Notamacropus eugenii: one gene and its partner. The protein of the gene in region 1 interacts with the protein of each later gene in a biochemical or structural test. Links are inferred from orthologs where the notes say so. Each region holds a gene or a part of one and is shown on either strand. Other genes may lie near its edges.

Evidence for each region.
Region 2: the proteins of NPR3 (region 1) and NPPB form a complex in vitro, tested with the Homo sapiens proteins (4 studies listed by BioGRID, with this or other methods). The link is inferred for Notamacropus eugenii from reciprocal best matches to the Homo sapiens genes NPR3 and NPPB.

Annotation. Positions count from the first base shown.
Region 1 is NC_092875.1:427,906,241-427,913,851, forward strand, and holds the start of NPR3 (atrial natriuretic peptide receptor 3), read left to right. Parts: upstream 1-4,390; 5' UTR 4,391-4,863; coding exon 4,864-5,602; intron 5,603-6,354; exon of another isoform or gene 6,355-6,425; coding exon of another isoform or gene 6,426-6,444; intron 6,445-6,523; exon of another isoform or gene 6,524-6,599; coding exon of another isoform or gene 6,600-6,735; intron 6,736-6,788; exon of another isoform or gene 6,789-6,999; coding exon of another isoform or gene 7,000-7,060; intron 7,061-7,611. UniProt on the Homo sapiens protein: Receptor for the natriuretic peptide hormones, binding with similar affinities atrial natriuretic peptide NPPA/ANP, brain natriuretic peptide NPPB/BNP, and C-type natriuretic peptide NPPC/CNP.
Region 2 is NC_092876.1:51,288,017-51,295,866, reverse strand, and holds NPPB (natriuretic peptides B), read left to right. Parts: upstream 1-4,758; 5' UTR 4,759-4,870; coding exon 4,871-4,990; intron 4,991-5,389; coding exon 5,390-5,660; intron 5,661-7,237; coding exon 7,238-7,254; 3' UTR 7,255-7,435; downstream 7,436-7,850.

The DNA of each region.
Region 1 (7,611 bases):
CTGGTTAAATGAAGGGTGGAGGCCTTCCTTAAGAATTGAAGCTGGCTGCAAGATTTAACAATTACAACTGTGATTCCAATGATGGGTTACTGTAGAGAGAGTAACAATTGGTGGAGACAACCAATCTGTTTCTAATAGCCTTAAAAATGCTATCCTTGATAATCTCTATAGAATACTAGCTCCAAATGTTTTAATTATTACAGGAAGGATGTAGTATTGCCATAGTAGATAGTGTTTTGTTTTCATAGGTCCTTAAACAAATGATAAACAAATACTCTTTAGAAAAGTTGTTACCCTTGTCTTCTGGTTTCGTGATTTAAAATGTTATACACAATTAATTAAATGATTTCTAAATGTTATGACATTACTATTCATTTGTGTCACAAATTAAATATGGAGGCTGCATAAAGTATTCAAATAGTCCCCCCACCCCCAATTAATTTTATTCTGCTTTGGAGCATGTTCTCAACATCTATTCTGTAGTTTCATATGCTTTTCTGACAGGAGAGAAAAAATGTGCTTTCTCCTTTCAATGTTTCAAACAATTTCAGAGAAGCATAATTTTAAAATTGGATCCTTCAGGGATGTAATACTTCTATTTTGTAAATAATATTTGTCATTCATGTAATAAACATAGTACAGCATCCTATCACACCACAATAGCCTACATTTATATGGCTCTTTAACATTTGCAGAGTGATTTCATATAAAATCTTACTTGAGCCTCATAACAACCTTGATAGATAAATGCTATTATTATTCTCATCTTATAGAGGAGGAAACAGATGGAGGGAGGTTAAGCAATTTGCCCAAAGTCACAAGCTAGTAATCATTTGAGGCAGCACTCGAACTCCAAACTCTATCCACTGTGCCATCTAAACATTCTACGTATTATGGTTATTATTGCTTTTTTTAAATAAAGCGGGAAGCACCTCTCCTTGAAAGCATCATTACAAGAGAACTCCACTATATACAAAAGATTGTCTATTCTTTTACATGTTGGAATTTGGTTTACATATTGTAATTTGGCTCATATACCACCTATCAACAAATAATTCTAAATTTTGTCCATGGTCAAATGGTCAGTGTGTGTCCAAGACAGGACTTGAATCCAGATCTTCTCAACTCCAAGGCCTTCCCTAAATCCAGCTAGGTGGTGGTGCCTGTTTAAAACATGCAGGTGTGAGAATACAGACAAGTCACTTAACCACTCAATGTCTGCTGGAAGTAGTCTCCTAATCCAACTCTGTCACTATAAAAGAGAGACATATTATTGATCAGAATAGGTGGAGGGAGTTTCTGCACTCAAAATAGCTCACCGATCAAATCACAGGTTTGGACTAGTAAATAATCAAATAATTCTCAGAATATGAAAATGAATATGGAAATTAGAATTTTCTCATTACACAGAGATTTGGGGCTGTTCCCTGATGTTATATCAGGGGATGGGATTAGATGATTTCTAAGACCCATTCCAAGTTTAAGACATGACTTAATGTGTGTGTGTGTGTGTGTGTGTGTGTGTGCATAATGACAAGTCATATTTATACACTGATACTTATGTAAACTTCTTACTGGTTTTCAAACAGTAATTTGATATGAAGTAAATAATTCAACAACACTAAAATGTACATACTTTACCACTGATATTTATAATTAGTCCTTTACCTGATTTTATGCCAATTTCCGTTTGTCTAATACTGTTGATAAATCCCAATTTCTCTTCAACATTTTCTGAGGGATGTTTTGAAAAGGAGGAAATTGAATAATATAAACTACTCGTTTAATTATTTAGTTTATTGAAGTACAGTATGCAAAATTTCTCCTTAATTTCTTTTATCTTTTAGATTCCTTTAAAAGTTTACAGATGGGTTATACACTCAAAATGAGGCATTCCCATTCAAAACCTCCAAACTGAAAGCTCTGGTATTAAGCTGAACTTAAATGCACTGCCCTGACAATGACCTCCAGGCTAAGTTGAGAAGACCATCTATCTGTAAAGTGAGAGGCAATTCACTCATGCCATTTAAACCCTGGGCCTCTCTCTTTAAGACTTAAACAACAAACTGGAGAATTACTTTGCCTTTGACTGTGCTCATCCTAGGAAGCCATAATATGAAGAATAGGATATTTCATATTCTTTAGGATCTTCAGCTTAAAATGAGAAATTCATTCAGTCTGGAACTTAGTTGTTGATTTCCTTCAAAAACCCTATGTCTAAAATTGTCTAATAAAGTGCATTTGCAATTATTCGGTTGTGGATCTTGTCCTGGTCCTTTGCTTGGGATAAGGGGCATAAAGAGGAGGAGTGTTCATTCCGTTGTATAGTGAACTCCCATTACAGAAACTCTTTCTACCTTTACTAATTGACACCTCTACAATCAGATTCTGATTCTGGGGTTCAAAGCTATACATTGATTTACTGGGCTACAAAGAGTCAGGGGCAAGGCTTAAACCCATATGTTCTAGACTTTAGAGCCAGCTCTTCAGTCACTATTCCAGGCAGCCTCTCTTGCTATTAAATATTAGGTGAAATTAAAATATTTTAGAGTGACTTTTAAGTAGTTTTAAATTTTAACATACTTTATTTTCCACTAATTACATGTTAAAATAACTTTTTGACATTGATTTTTAAAAAAAAAAGTTTTGAGTTTCTAATTTTATCCTTCCCTTCCTTCCCTGAAGTAGTTTTTTTTAAATAAGAGATTTCAAAGGAGTAGGAGACAGTTTATTACTTAAAGTTAGATTCTGAGATTAGATTGCAATTAACTTCAGTTAAGCATACTTTCTATTCTTTCAATTAGCATAACGAAGAGTTGTATTAATTAGTTCAGCCAGAGGAAAACAAAGTTATCAGGAAGCACTTAATTATAAATACAAATAGAAACAAGAATTCTAGTCTGGGAGACAAAAATGCAGAGCCTGGAGCAGTGGTGCAAAGGTTACCAGCCATATTAATTTTTCTGCCGAAAGAGGGCGTTTTCCTGGGATTAATAGGGGGAAAGCTTTAAGTTTCTTTAAAGTTAAGTGAAAGTATTCAAACGAAATTCTGATGGTTAGTATTTTTCTAATTTGTGGAATTAAATTTTTTTAATCTCGTAGAGGTAGTGAAGTACGTGACCCAAACAAATAATGTTTTACGTGTACATATACCAAGGATAAGAATGCTGAATTCTATTTGAATACGCATGGAAAGCATGGATTTCCTGACTTGATAGTCAGGCCACTGCCTTGTATGAAATCCTTTCCATTCCTGCCTTTTGACTTGCAAGAGATCAGGACTTCGGACCTGTTATCTTTCTTTCTTCAGAGCTGCATCCTCTTTTGCAAAGGTGGGGGAATGAAAGATCCCCTTTATGTGCCCATAAAGTCCTGCGGACGTTTTTTGGGCGGTTTGCAAACATTTGCCATATTCCAACTGCCTATGGAGAAGCGGAATCACGGGCTGGAAGTCACCCTCTGCAAGCAAAAAGTTTCGCTTCCCCTCCCCCCCACCCCACGCGCTCTTCTTTGGGAAAGCGCTCCTTGGTTTCACTTGGTCTTCACTCCTGGGAAGAATATATGCAAAGAGAAGCGCCCGCGCACTCCGGAACCAGAGGAAAGGCAGAATCTGCATAGGTGGAAAAAACGGGTAAGTGGGGAAAAGGCTTAAGGCAGTTTCTGCCGGGAGAGCATAGGATGCGGGCCGACCTCCAGAAATTGGGCTTGGCTAGCTTGTGTCCCAGGTATGTAGAGGACGCCGGGATACTGGATTCGCCTAGGTCACTTAAGAGCTGTGAAAGCAAACTTTTTTCTTTGGGCTCCCCAACTCAAATGCCAAAGACCTCTCAGCCTCAATAGAGCTCTGGATAGTAGAGACAGATAGACAGTGGGCGACATAACTCCTCCTCCGGACTTAGGGACCCCCTCCTCCCCCTTCAGTTGCATTGCCTGAAAGAGAGGGAAGGAGAGAGGGGAAAGAGGAGAACGCGCGCGCTCTAACGGGGAGACCCCCGAAGTTTCCTTGCCAGTAAAAGTCAGACGAGATCTTGATTAGTTGTTACTTTTGCTTGGCGCTTGTGTATTTATTTGCAAATTAATTGTATAAGGATCTTTAGTCAGTAGCTTTTGAGCTGAAGCGGTGGCGCCTGAATTGAGCTGCTGTGTTTTGGAGCGAGTTGGAGAACAGAAAAGGCGCGTGTGCACTGTGGATATGAACTGAGGGGAGATGAGTGTGTTACGTGTGCTGCAACTTTAAGAAAAAGGTCGGGGTGGTGGGTGGATTGAGGTTGGGAAGGAGGGAGGGAAGGGGTGTGGGGAGGAGTCCTGATGTAAGAATGCTAATGAGAGGCTCCCCTCCAACCCCCCGTCAACCCCCCACCCTACCCGCTCGAAATACAAACCCGTTCTCGCAGCTCCATGTGTGGTAACAGGCTCGTCCGCTACCACACTATTTAAACAGAGGATATGTATCAAGGAGCAAGGGAGAATCAATGAGATCAAACGGGAGGCAGATGCTCCGTCAATTACAATCACTTGGACAAGTTTAATTTTTTTTTTTTTTTGCAAGCCATTCTTTCAAAATCAATCTCAACAACGTCCAAAAAAAAGAAGTCACCTCTAGGCAAAATAGTATATAGGAGGAAAGAGAAATATCTATATAACATACTATAGGGTCATAGGTGTAAACTTAAAAAAAACTGGTAACATTTTAGAGAAGGGCCCTTTTTCCCGTCACTTGACGGTAGAAGGGGAATTCTGTTTTCTTAGGGCACCCAAGGGGGCGCAGGGACTAAGGAGGTAGAGGAAAGGGAGGGGGAGAAGGAGGAAGGTGGTGGGAAGAAGACGGGCTAAGGTGAGTGACAGAGATTGCTCTTCAGCGCAATGCCATCCTTTTTGTTACTCAGTTTCTCTTCTTGCGCTGTGCTAAGCTGGGCGCTCCTGGCAAGCGGCGGCAGCAGCAGCGGAAACCGAGGCGGCGGGCTCCCTGTGGTGGAAGAGACGCAGAAGATCGAGGTTCTGGTGCTTCTACCCAAGGACAACGCTTACATGTTCTCCTTGGCCAGGGTCAAGCCGGCCATCGAGTACGCGCTGCGTAGCGTGGAGGAAAATGGGACTAGGAGACAGCTGCTTCCACAGGGCTACAGCTTCCAGGTGGACTATCAGGATTCGCACTGCGGCAACCAGGCACTCTTCAGTTTAGTTGATCGAGTGGCAGTGGCCCGGGGGTCTAAACCGGACTTGATCCTGGGCCCGGTCTGCGAATATGCTGCAGCACCTGTGGCCCGGCTGGCGTCGCACTGGGACCTGCCCATGCTGTCTGCCGGAGCTCTCGCGGCTGGCTTCAAGCACAAGGAGAGCGAGTTCTCGCACCTTACCCGTGTGGCACCCGCCTACGCCAAGATGGGAGAGATGATGCTCGCCTTGTTCCGGCATCAGCAGTGGAGCCGAGCTGCCCTGATCTACAGTGATGACAAGCTGGAGCGGAACTGTTACTTCACCCTGGAGGGGGTCCATGAGGTCTTCCAGGAGGAGGGTTTGCACACATCCGCCTACAGCTTCGACGAGACCAAAACCCTAGACGCTGAAGAAATCGTGCGCTACATCCAGGCCAGCGAGAGGGGTGAGCTAGAGGAACGTCCCCATCTAGTGTACCTTTTAGCCCTCTCCCATCCCGCATCCCAACCCTCTCTATTCTACTCCTTGAACATTGTAAGGGCACCCCAACTTTTCCCCACTTTCCCTGGCGCTGGGAATGCGGAAAGGGGTGAAAGGGATGGAGATATGCAAAATGTAACTGCAGAAGTCTAATCATTCTAGCTTTGGGATGAGCTTTTTCCACTGGCCCATGTATAAGCCCTCTCCACCTCCTTGGTAGAGGACGAGGAAATGTGTAAGGGCATAGAGGGGTGTAGGTGGGGAGATAGGAAGGAAATCTATTCTCTTTCCTTCCCTAGGTCTGGGGAGGGGAGGGGAGAAGCGCAAAGACCGGAGGGTTTTCCTGTCCTGAGGACTTATCTTGGCTTTCCCTTTCCCTTCCTCTCCCTTAAAGTTTGTGCAGTGTTGGTTAGCTTTCCTAATGCCCCGTTTTAAGTGCTTACCCCCTTCCTCCCCCCTAGTATGCTTGTCAAGTTGTCCCATTTCCCTTCTTCCAGCTACTATTCTATTTCCTTTAAAAAGCTCGATTGTATTGATTTTTCCTCATCCATCTCCTGGGTCTTCCTCCCTTCGCCCACTCCACCCTTCTTAACAAATACGTTTCCTGGGTTTCCACTCAAAATGCGTCGTTGCGTCCTGGCAACAATCAACATCCCCTTTAGATTCCTGAGTGTTTCCATCCCCGAAGATTCCAAATAGGGGCATCTTCAGGTCCCATACTTGCTGGAGAATCACTCGGAGGTACACATGGTTCCGACTGTAATAATAATTTGCTTCTTAATAAACAAATGCCGAAATTGGCAAGAGGTGAGAAATGAGTTACGTGAGTTGGTAGGTGCGAGGGAGAAAAGAAGGGGTTTCAACTTCTTGACCACGAATTTCAGGGGAGAAAGTGAGATTTCCCGGAGAAATCAGGCAGGGTGCCTAACCATATCCGGATAAGGGCACAATGCGCCAAGGGGATGTCGTCAGCTAATTCTAGAACACAGAGCCACCTCTCCGCCTTCCCCTTATGCCATTGCGCCTGGAATGTAGGTGGTGAAATCTTGGCACTCTCAGCCCTGGGAACGAGACACGTGAGACTCGGGCCCTCTAAAGGTGCGTAAGCTGGCAAATACATTTACCGCGGGTGTGGTTCCGCACACCTGAGCGCTTGGCTTGCGGAGCTTGGACTGAGAAGCACGGGCGCGTGGCCTGGAGCAGTTTCTGGCCCAGCCTCCGCACTTTGTCACCAGAATCCCGAACAGGTGGGAGGACTGCAAGAGGCAGAGGTGGCAGTGTGAGCCGTGCAGTTGATAGCTTAATATAGGGCGCTGGGCAGGTGGACCTCGTAGTCTAGATGGAAGAAGGGGAGGTTCTGGAATGCGAAATACGTGGCCCGAATCAAGCTTTTTCCATGTACATCTGCCCAGGGCCTGCCTAGGTAGGTACATGGGGCTAAATGAACGCTTAAGCCTTTAAGGTATACCATTGAAATACAGACATGTATATGTACAATACATACATATATTTACATATCACATACACACACACACCACCATGGATGGCGCCCAGCCCATTTAGCCAGGACCTTGAGCCGGCCCTCTCTCGGTCTGCACAAACCTCAGGCTATCCAGATTCGTCGGCATTTTTCTTGCCCTGTGGTGTATGGAAGAGGCATTCTGATCGAACTGCTTGCCACACATTTCCTACCGACCACACCCAGGACGTGAAAATAAACCCCTCCCCCTTTCTTCCCCACCCGGACCTGGCAGATCTCTCCCAAAGAGACTTGTAGCCCCGACGTCAGGACGGGCAGTAGAAGGCTGCGGGAATAAATATGAAACCAACAGGCGGAGAGGTCTCTGAGCATCAGCCCCCGCCGCCTGACTCCTGTGAGCGGCGCCAAGCTGAACACCAGAGAGGGCAGGGAAGGGACAGATGCGTGCGTCTGACTGTCTGCGTGGATGGCAGTAGCTGGCAATACTGACTCCC
Region 2 (7,850 bases), on another chromosome or scaffold:
ACCAAGAGAAGGATAGTAATAGCATCACAGTTTTAAGAACAACTTTGAAAGAATAAGTTATTTTGTCTATTGCAAATGCCCAAATCAACTATAAAGACACTATCTGCATGCAGAGAAAGAACTGATAAATAAAGGATGTATAGAATAACTTTACATATACATACCTATTTGCATCTAATAGTAGCCATCTCTAGGGTGAGGGGAGGGAAGGAAAAAAAAGAAAATCATTTACAGGATAATTTGGTTGTATATTTTAATTTGGTTCTATATTTGAAAGAAATAGCAAGTTGCACATAGTAGATTTGCAGTTTCTTGTATAATCTCCTGTTTTATTCTATAATTTAAAAATAAAAATTTTTAAAAATTTCAAAATTTTGAGGGGAAGTAGTGGTTAAGGTAATATTGGTGTTTGTCAGATAATTGACTGACTGAGTGAGTGAATGAGTGAACAAAGGAAATGGCCCTTTGTATTCCACTAATTAATTTTAGGCTGCTTTTGCTGACTGATATAGCAAAGGTTAGCAGGCTTCATCTCTTCTTCCCTCCCTCTCTTTTTTCCTCTCTCTCTCCTTTTCTCTTTCCTTCCTCCCTCCTCTCCTTCCTTCTTTCCTCCTTCCCTCCATCCCTCTCCATCAGTTTCCCATCAGCAAGGAAAGAAGTATGCCAAATGGTTACAAGACTGGATCATGCAGCCTGCATCTTAAGCCTCTCCTGATCTCTGACTTACTCTAAAAACAGCCTCCCCACTCTGTTTAGAATAAGATGGACCAGTGGAAGATCAGCGACCCTGAAAGACTCATAAAATACTAAGAAATTTTTTAGCAAGAGGATTGAAAACAGGACAAAATCCATCAATAACTCAAGTGAAAGGGAAAGATTGTTGGACTATGTGTGATTCAGAAGATTTGGTGCTGGGAGCTGGAGATACAAAGGGGGAGGGGTGGGGTGGAAAGTCCCTGCTCTTCAGAAGCTTATATTCTGTTGGGGAATGGAAAAGGGATACAATTTATGCAGATTAATTAGTACAAAGTAATTTAATTTTTTTAGAATTAAATTTTAATCATTTAAAAATTTTGAATTCCAAATTCTCATCCTCCCTCTCATCCCTTCCCCACCCATTGAGAAGAGCAACGTGATGTCAATTATACATGTGAAATCATGAAAATACATTTCTATATTAGCCATGTTGCAAGAAAAATAAAGTGAAAAAAATATGCTTCAGTCTATACTCAGGTTTCATCAGTTCTCTCTTTGGAGGTGGATAGCATTTTTCATCACAAGTCCTTCAGAATCATCTTGATTATTATATCGTTAGATCAGAGTAGTTAAATCTTTCACAGTTACCATATTGCTATTACTATGTACAATGTCCTCCCAATTCTGTTCACTTTTCTGTGCATTAGTTCATATAAGTCTTCCCAGGCTTTTCTGAAACCATCACTTTTTATAGCACATAGTATTCTATCACAATCATATACCATAACTTGTTTAGCCATTCCCTAATTGATGGGCATCCCCTCAGTTTCCAATGTTTTGACACCACAAAAAGAGCTGCTATAAAAATTTTTGTACTTACTGACTATAGTCCTTTTCCTACAAAGTAATTTTAGAAGAGAAAATGCTAATAATTCAAGGGATAGTCAGAAAAGACTTTATAAAGGGTATAGCACCTGAACTCATTCATATTTCACCTGTGGCTCTAAGAAACTGGAGCATGCTCAGCAGCCACTCCCCATAAACCATTTTGGCAGACAGGCTATATCAGGTTAAGCGGAACCAACAGGACTCATATCTAATGGTGAGTTAAGGGGATGTCTACCCTAAACATGAGAAGACTTCCTCCCAGTGGAATGGGTGAATGAGAACAACTTGTTCCAATGACCATGAAAGCAGCTGAAGCAGGAGCTGTGGAGTGCTTAGAGCTTGGTCAGACACAGAGTGTCATATACTGCATCCCAGGTCATTGGCAATCATCCAGACTTTTGTCTTTCCATTGGACTATGATGACTCTGAAAGAGAGAGTGAGTGGGGAGTCAAAACATCGCTGTGTGATGTCATTGGTGCTCTTTGAGATAAAGGAAGAACAAGAGCACATGGGCTGAGTTTTGATAGAAGCTTAAGATTCTCAGAAGTAGAGGTGAGGGATGAGGAAATCCCAGGCATGGGGGACAGGTTGTGCAAATGCATGGAAATGGGAGATGGCATACTGAGTTCAAGGAACAGCTAGTAGGACAGTATTGTCCTATATGTAAGTAAAATACATGAAGATTAATGATATGAAATAAATCTTTAAATTTATATGGGAGCCAGATTTTGGAGAGCTTTCCATTCCAATATTAAGAGTTAATACTTTATCCTAGGTAAAATAAGAAGCCACTAGAGATCTTTGGAGGGCACTCTTGCTTAACTGGTAGAAGATGGATAATAATCCTACAAAGCCGACTAAGATGGAGTGGTCAGAAGGATCAGGGCAGAATACTGTCATAGAAGCCAAGGGAATATAGAGTTTCTAGGAGAAGGATATTGTTGACAGTGGCAAAAACTGTGAAGATGTCAATTAGAATGAGGATTGTGAAAAGAGCATTGGATTTAACAGTTAGGAAATCAATGGTAAGCTTCTGCTGTTTTTCCTTCATTCTTGAAAAGGACCATGACATTAGGGAGGTAATGCCTTGCCATGCACGTGAATTGGAGTTAAATGAGGGAGGTCTGTGTGAAGTCGCCAGCTTCACTTTTTTCTCCGGAGCCATCTGGGTCCAGTGGCCAGATAGGGATCAGAACAATTAGAGATGACCCAGGATGCAAAGGGGGACCTCGACTTTTTCAAGCCATTTCCAGGTCTCAGTTTGATTGATCCAATGCCCATTCAGTGATTAAATTTTAATAAGAAATGAAGCAAAGAACAGCCTCTTAAAAAAAGAAAAAGATTTGTGAGGGGAAGACCCTCAATAAGGGATATAAAAACAGAAGTTACCAACAAAATGTTTTTAAAAACTAAATCATTGTTGTCCTCCCAAGGAAGTCAAGTGAGGGGGTTGGACCTCTGGAGTCCTTTGTAATTCTAAATCTTTGAGATTACCAAAGAGGAGAAAAGGGTCTGAACAAGGATTTGAGTGGAATGGTAGTACAGATAGGAGAGATATTTCAGAGGTAGAATTGAGGGAACATGGCAATTTTAGGGGGAATTAGCTTTGTTTTTGCATATTTGTGATGATGGGTTTTTTGTCTTTTCGTTCAATTGGTGAGAGATGGAAGTGGATTGAGAAAAACTGCTTTTTAAAAAGGGAGTCTGGCAACTGATAAATCAAGAAGCATTTATTAAACACCTGCTATAAGCCAGGCACGATGCTAAGAACGGGGATACAGAGAAAGGCAAGAGACAGCCTTTGATCTCAAGGAGTTCACAGTCTAAAAGGGAAGACAATTGCAAACAATTATGTAAAAACTAGATATGTACTGGGTAAACTGAAGATAATTTCAGAGGGAAGACACTAAGGTTAAGGAGGACTGGGAAAAGGGATTAGGGAAAGGAAGTCCTCAGCAATAATTCCAAATCCAGCACTCTTTGCACTCCACCATACGTAGAAAGTATGAGAGTAATTTTATCCCTCATTTTTGTTTTTCAAAATTTCATAGTAATAAATTATATTGCTTAAGGGATGGCGCAACAAGCCGAAGACTATCTATAGGAGTGATATAAAATCAGAATGCAAATTCTGGAAAACTCACATCTGTACCTGTGGGGAGGGGGAGGAGAAATGATCTGGCGCTTGACCATCTTCCTGTCTTCTGGGGCTGCCTGGTACTTGGATTTGTTTGCTACTTAACTAGGCTCCGAAATGTGACACAGTTCAAGGAGGGTTATGTGATGGACCGCCGGCACCATGGACAGCGGCAAAAAATGCCCAATTCCAGAGGGCCATAGTGACTAGATGACCGCAGGACCTACCAGAGGGATTTGAGAGAAAAATCAGTATGGGGGAGGGGTGGGGATACTGAATTCCTGACCAGAGCGGCCACCCCACCCCTTTCCTTGAAGCGGGAAGCTGACTTCATCCTGCAAGGTGTGCATGGAGGGAGGAGGTGACTGGAAAAGAAGATGATGTGAAGAACTTGGCCTGTTCTTGGTCAGCCTCTCCTTTGTCACTTTTCCCTCCCTCCCCGAAGGGTGTTTGCTCCCAGATATCTTCCTTCATCCCATCTCCAGTTAGATTCCTCTCAATTAACTCTTGTAGGACCCTTGAAAGAGGAAACTCCTAGGAGGCTTGGGGTCAGTGGGAGGCGAGGGGTGTGCTGAGCAGGAGAATTGCGTACCCACTTCTTAGTCCCATAGCTGTATTCTCTTCTCCTTCCCCATCCAAGAGAGGAGTCTTCACTGTCAGTTGTGCCAGTGAGTGTTGGGATGGGGTGTCCCCAGGGCTTCCTTGCCCTTGGGAAATTTAGGTGGAAGAGAACAGAAAAGGGAGTGTTTCTCTAGCTCGTTTCTATACAAGGCCATCCCTCTTTCACCAGTCCCTCACTCCCACCCCTTACATTCAGCTGAGACCCGAGTTAGAAAGAAAAGGCGGGGGATCAAGGAAGAGGGGGGCAGTACAGAGACTGTGTGAGACCGCGGGGGCGCATTCTCCGGCTTTGAGCTCAGCGAGGTCGGAATGTGGCTGATAAGTCAGAGATAACCCCGGGACCAGGAAGGGCAGGGGCAAGGCAAGGCAGGGCTCGGCTTCCAGCCACTGGGAATAAATAGCGACTGACCCAGCGAGTAGCCAGATAGAGAAAGCCAGAAGGGCAGAGAGAGGAAAGAAGTAGCATTGTCTGCGGCAGCAGCAGCCCGAGGTTTCTCCTTCGCCCTCCAGTCCCCTCCTTCCAAAACATGGACTCCCAGAAAGCGCTGCCCAGCATCTTTCTGCTCCTGCTCCTTCTGCAGCTCCAGGGCAACTTTTCCCATCCCTTAGACCGACCTCGCCAGGCTCGGGAGCTGACCGGGGTCCAGGTGAGCACAGCACATAGTCTACGGGTCAGCTGGCAAAAGGGAAACCCAAATCTGCCTCCTACTCCCACGCCCTTGCTCCGAGAGTTCTTCAGAACCACTGGGAAGTGATAGGTAGGGGTCTGGGATTGGGAGCACCAAGGGGAACCTCTGGATGTGTATCTCTATTCTCCCTCCTTACTAAGGGATTTCCGAAAGAATCATCAGACTGGCAAAGCCTAGAAGATACCCAAAGGTAGCAGAATGGCCCCTGAGAAGTTCGAGTAACCCTAGATTCTTAAGGTCTTGTTGGCGATGCACTGGGCGCCGGCGGGAGCTTGGGGAGGGGACTAGAAGAGCTGATCTGCAAGGGGGCTCACAATTCTTGCTAATCTGTCTCCTTTACTTCCACCATCCTTCCAGGAACTGCTGTACCGACTAAGGGACAAGATCTCAGCTTTGGAGGAGTTGGAGATGGCGGAGCCTGAGCCGAGGGAGCAAGAAGAGACCCCGGGGGAAGGCTGGGAGAACAGAAAGCCCGAACACCCACTGGTGCCAGAAGGCAGCCGTGTCCATAGGGTCTCCACCTTCCAGGCTCTGCGTGGTCTGCAAAGCCCGAAACTAATGCGAGAATCAGGCTGCTTTGGCAGGAGGCTGGACAGAATTGGCTCTCTCAGCAGCCTGGGGTGCAATGGTAAACACTCCTTTTCCCCTGCCCTGTCTCTTTTCTGGCTTAATATCCCCAGGTGCCCCCTCCCCACCCCCATACAGTCATAGAAGACCTTCTTCTCAAGTAGTCACTCTATCACTTAGACTCCATCTCATCTCCAGATTTAGTGACCAGAGAACAGAATTGGGGATAGAGGAATCCAGTAAAGGAACCAAGGTTACAAAATGCCATTCAGAGACACTTAGCTTGTCTCCCGCCCCCAAGGCTGGAACAAAAGAGAAACAGAGTGAGCTCAGGGGGACTGCGCGGTTCCCTGGGGAACAGCAGAGGCTTGCACAAAGATGCCAAAGAAGCTACATGGAGAGGGGAGGAAGAATCCCACAGATATACTCCTGCAGCCACTTGCTCATTTGGCTGGCTTTTAATTTTTTCTTCTTTTCTTATGATTGATCGACTGGCAAGTTTCCCCCACTTGGAGGGCACAAGCTGAATAGGAAGACATACTAAGGACATAGAACCCTTTGAAAGAGGACTCCTCTGCCCCCAAGAGACCCACATTCTAGTCCTAGGTCTTTCCTGTCCAAATTTAGAAAAGCTCCCTGTCGGTAGCATGGGAGTTGCTGTTGACACAGCAATGCTCCCTTATCATGTGGTTATTTTCTTTTATCTTTGCCTTTTTTATGGACTAGCAGAAAGATCCCTAGATATGCAGTCTGGGGACATGAGTTCAATTCCAGATACCTTCCATTTGTGGCTTTTGGGGAAAATCACTTAATTTTTCTGTGCCTCAGTTTCCTCATCTGAAAAATGAGAGGGTTAGACTCAATGGCCTCTGAGGCCCCTTACATCTTTGGATCCATGATTCCACAATTTGGTCAATGAAACATCCCATGATCCCCCTTGAGTCTTCTCCTTGTTTGTATCTGAGGTCTTCCATTGGCAAGGGCATAGTTCAGCTCTACTAACAGCCCTTGGGGTTAAAAAGGCTGCAATATTCCATTATTTCCATGATTCAACCATCCAAGCTCCAAGTGTCCCAGATGCTAAATGATTGAGTGTTATTCTGTAATGGCAGCCCCTGTGGGGAATAAGGGTTCATTCATTTTCTGCTTCCTAGTAATGCCCCCAAGCTTCTCATAGTTGCAAAGGCAGGAGATGAAATCGTTCAGTTGGATTGTTTTTCCCATTCTGCAATTGAGGAAACAGGCTCAGAGAGATTAAAGGACTAGAATAAGTTTCAGGAGTCAGTGTAGTTTAGAGGCTAGGACAGGAAAAGAAGTAAAGAAGGGGAGAGAGAGGCAAATTTCACTTTAATGCCAGGAAAAACTTGCTAATTATCAGAGCTGTCCTTTGGAAATAATGAGTTCTCCTTTACCAGAGGTCTTTAAGGAAAAGCTTGATAACCCTTTGTGGGGAAATGGTTTTTGCTCTTTTTGAATTACCTGGTCAATGAGGTCTCTTCCTACTCTGAGAATTGATGATCCTATGAGGTGATAAAGTCAAACAAAACCCAGAGAGAAAAAAAAAGAAAAATCGAGATTCTACTTCAGCTCTGAGCCTCCCCAGGAATAACCTTATTTTTCTCTTTTCTCCTCCAACAGTGTCAAGAAGGAACTAAGAAGTCCCAGCCACCTACTCCCTAACATCTAATTCTCACTGAGGCTTTTCCACCCCCTCAAAATGACTCCTATTTATTTGCATTTATTTATTTATTTATTTGGTTGTTTTGTATAAGCTGGTTTCTTACTTTTGAGCATGGAAAATTCATGGTTAAATAAAATCAGCCTGATTTTTTAAAATTTTGGAGCCATTATTCTTGGAACATTAAAAAAAATCCACCTACTTCCCTCTATGTGCCTGTATTTTATGAAAGATGCTGACTTGGATGGGACAAGGAACTTCAGTTTAGTTCATTAAGTGTTTATTAAATGCCCATTAGATGTTAGGTCTTGGGGTTACAAAGACAAAAGTGAAAGATCTGTTCCTCCAGGTGCTCACTTTCCACTGGGGGAAAAACCTATATACAGATAAATACAAAGCATCTGAATGACTGTAGTGGCAATGTGAGGATGCAAACATCCAAGTGTTGGAAGATTTTGGGGAGTCCATATTATAGGAGACTTCTAAATGCCCTGGAATCAATAGGAACTTCATAACCAGTTGAAATTTATTGGAAACTGCTTCAGGGAAGAGAGGGATAGGGAGCAAAGCAGC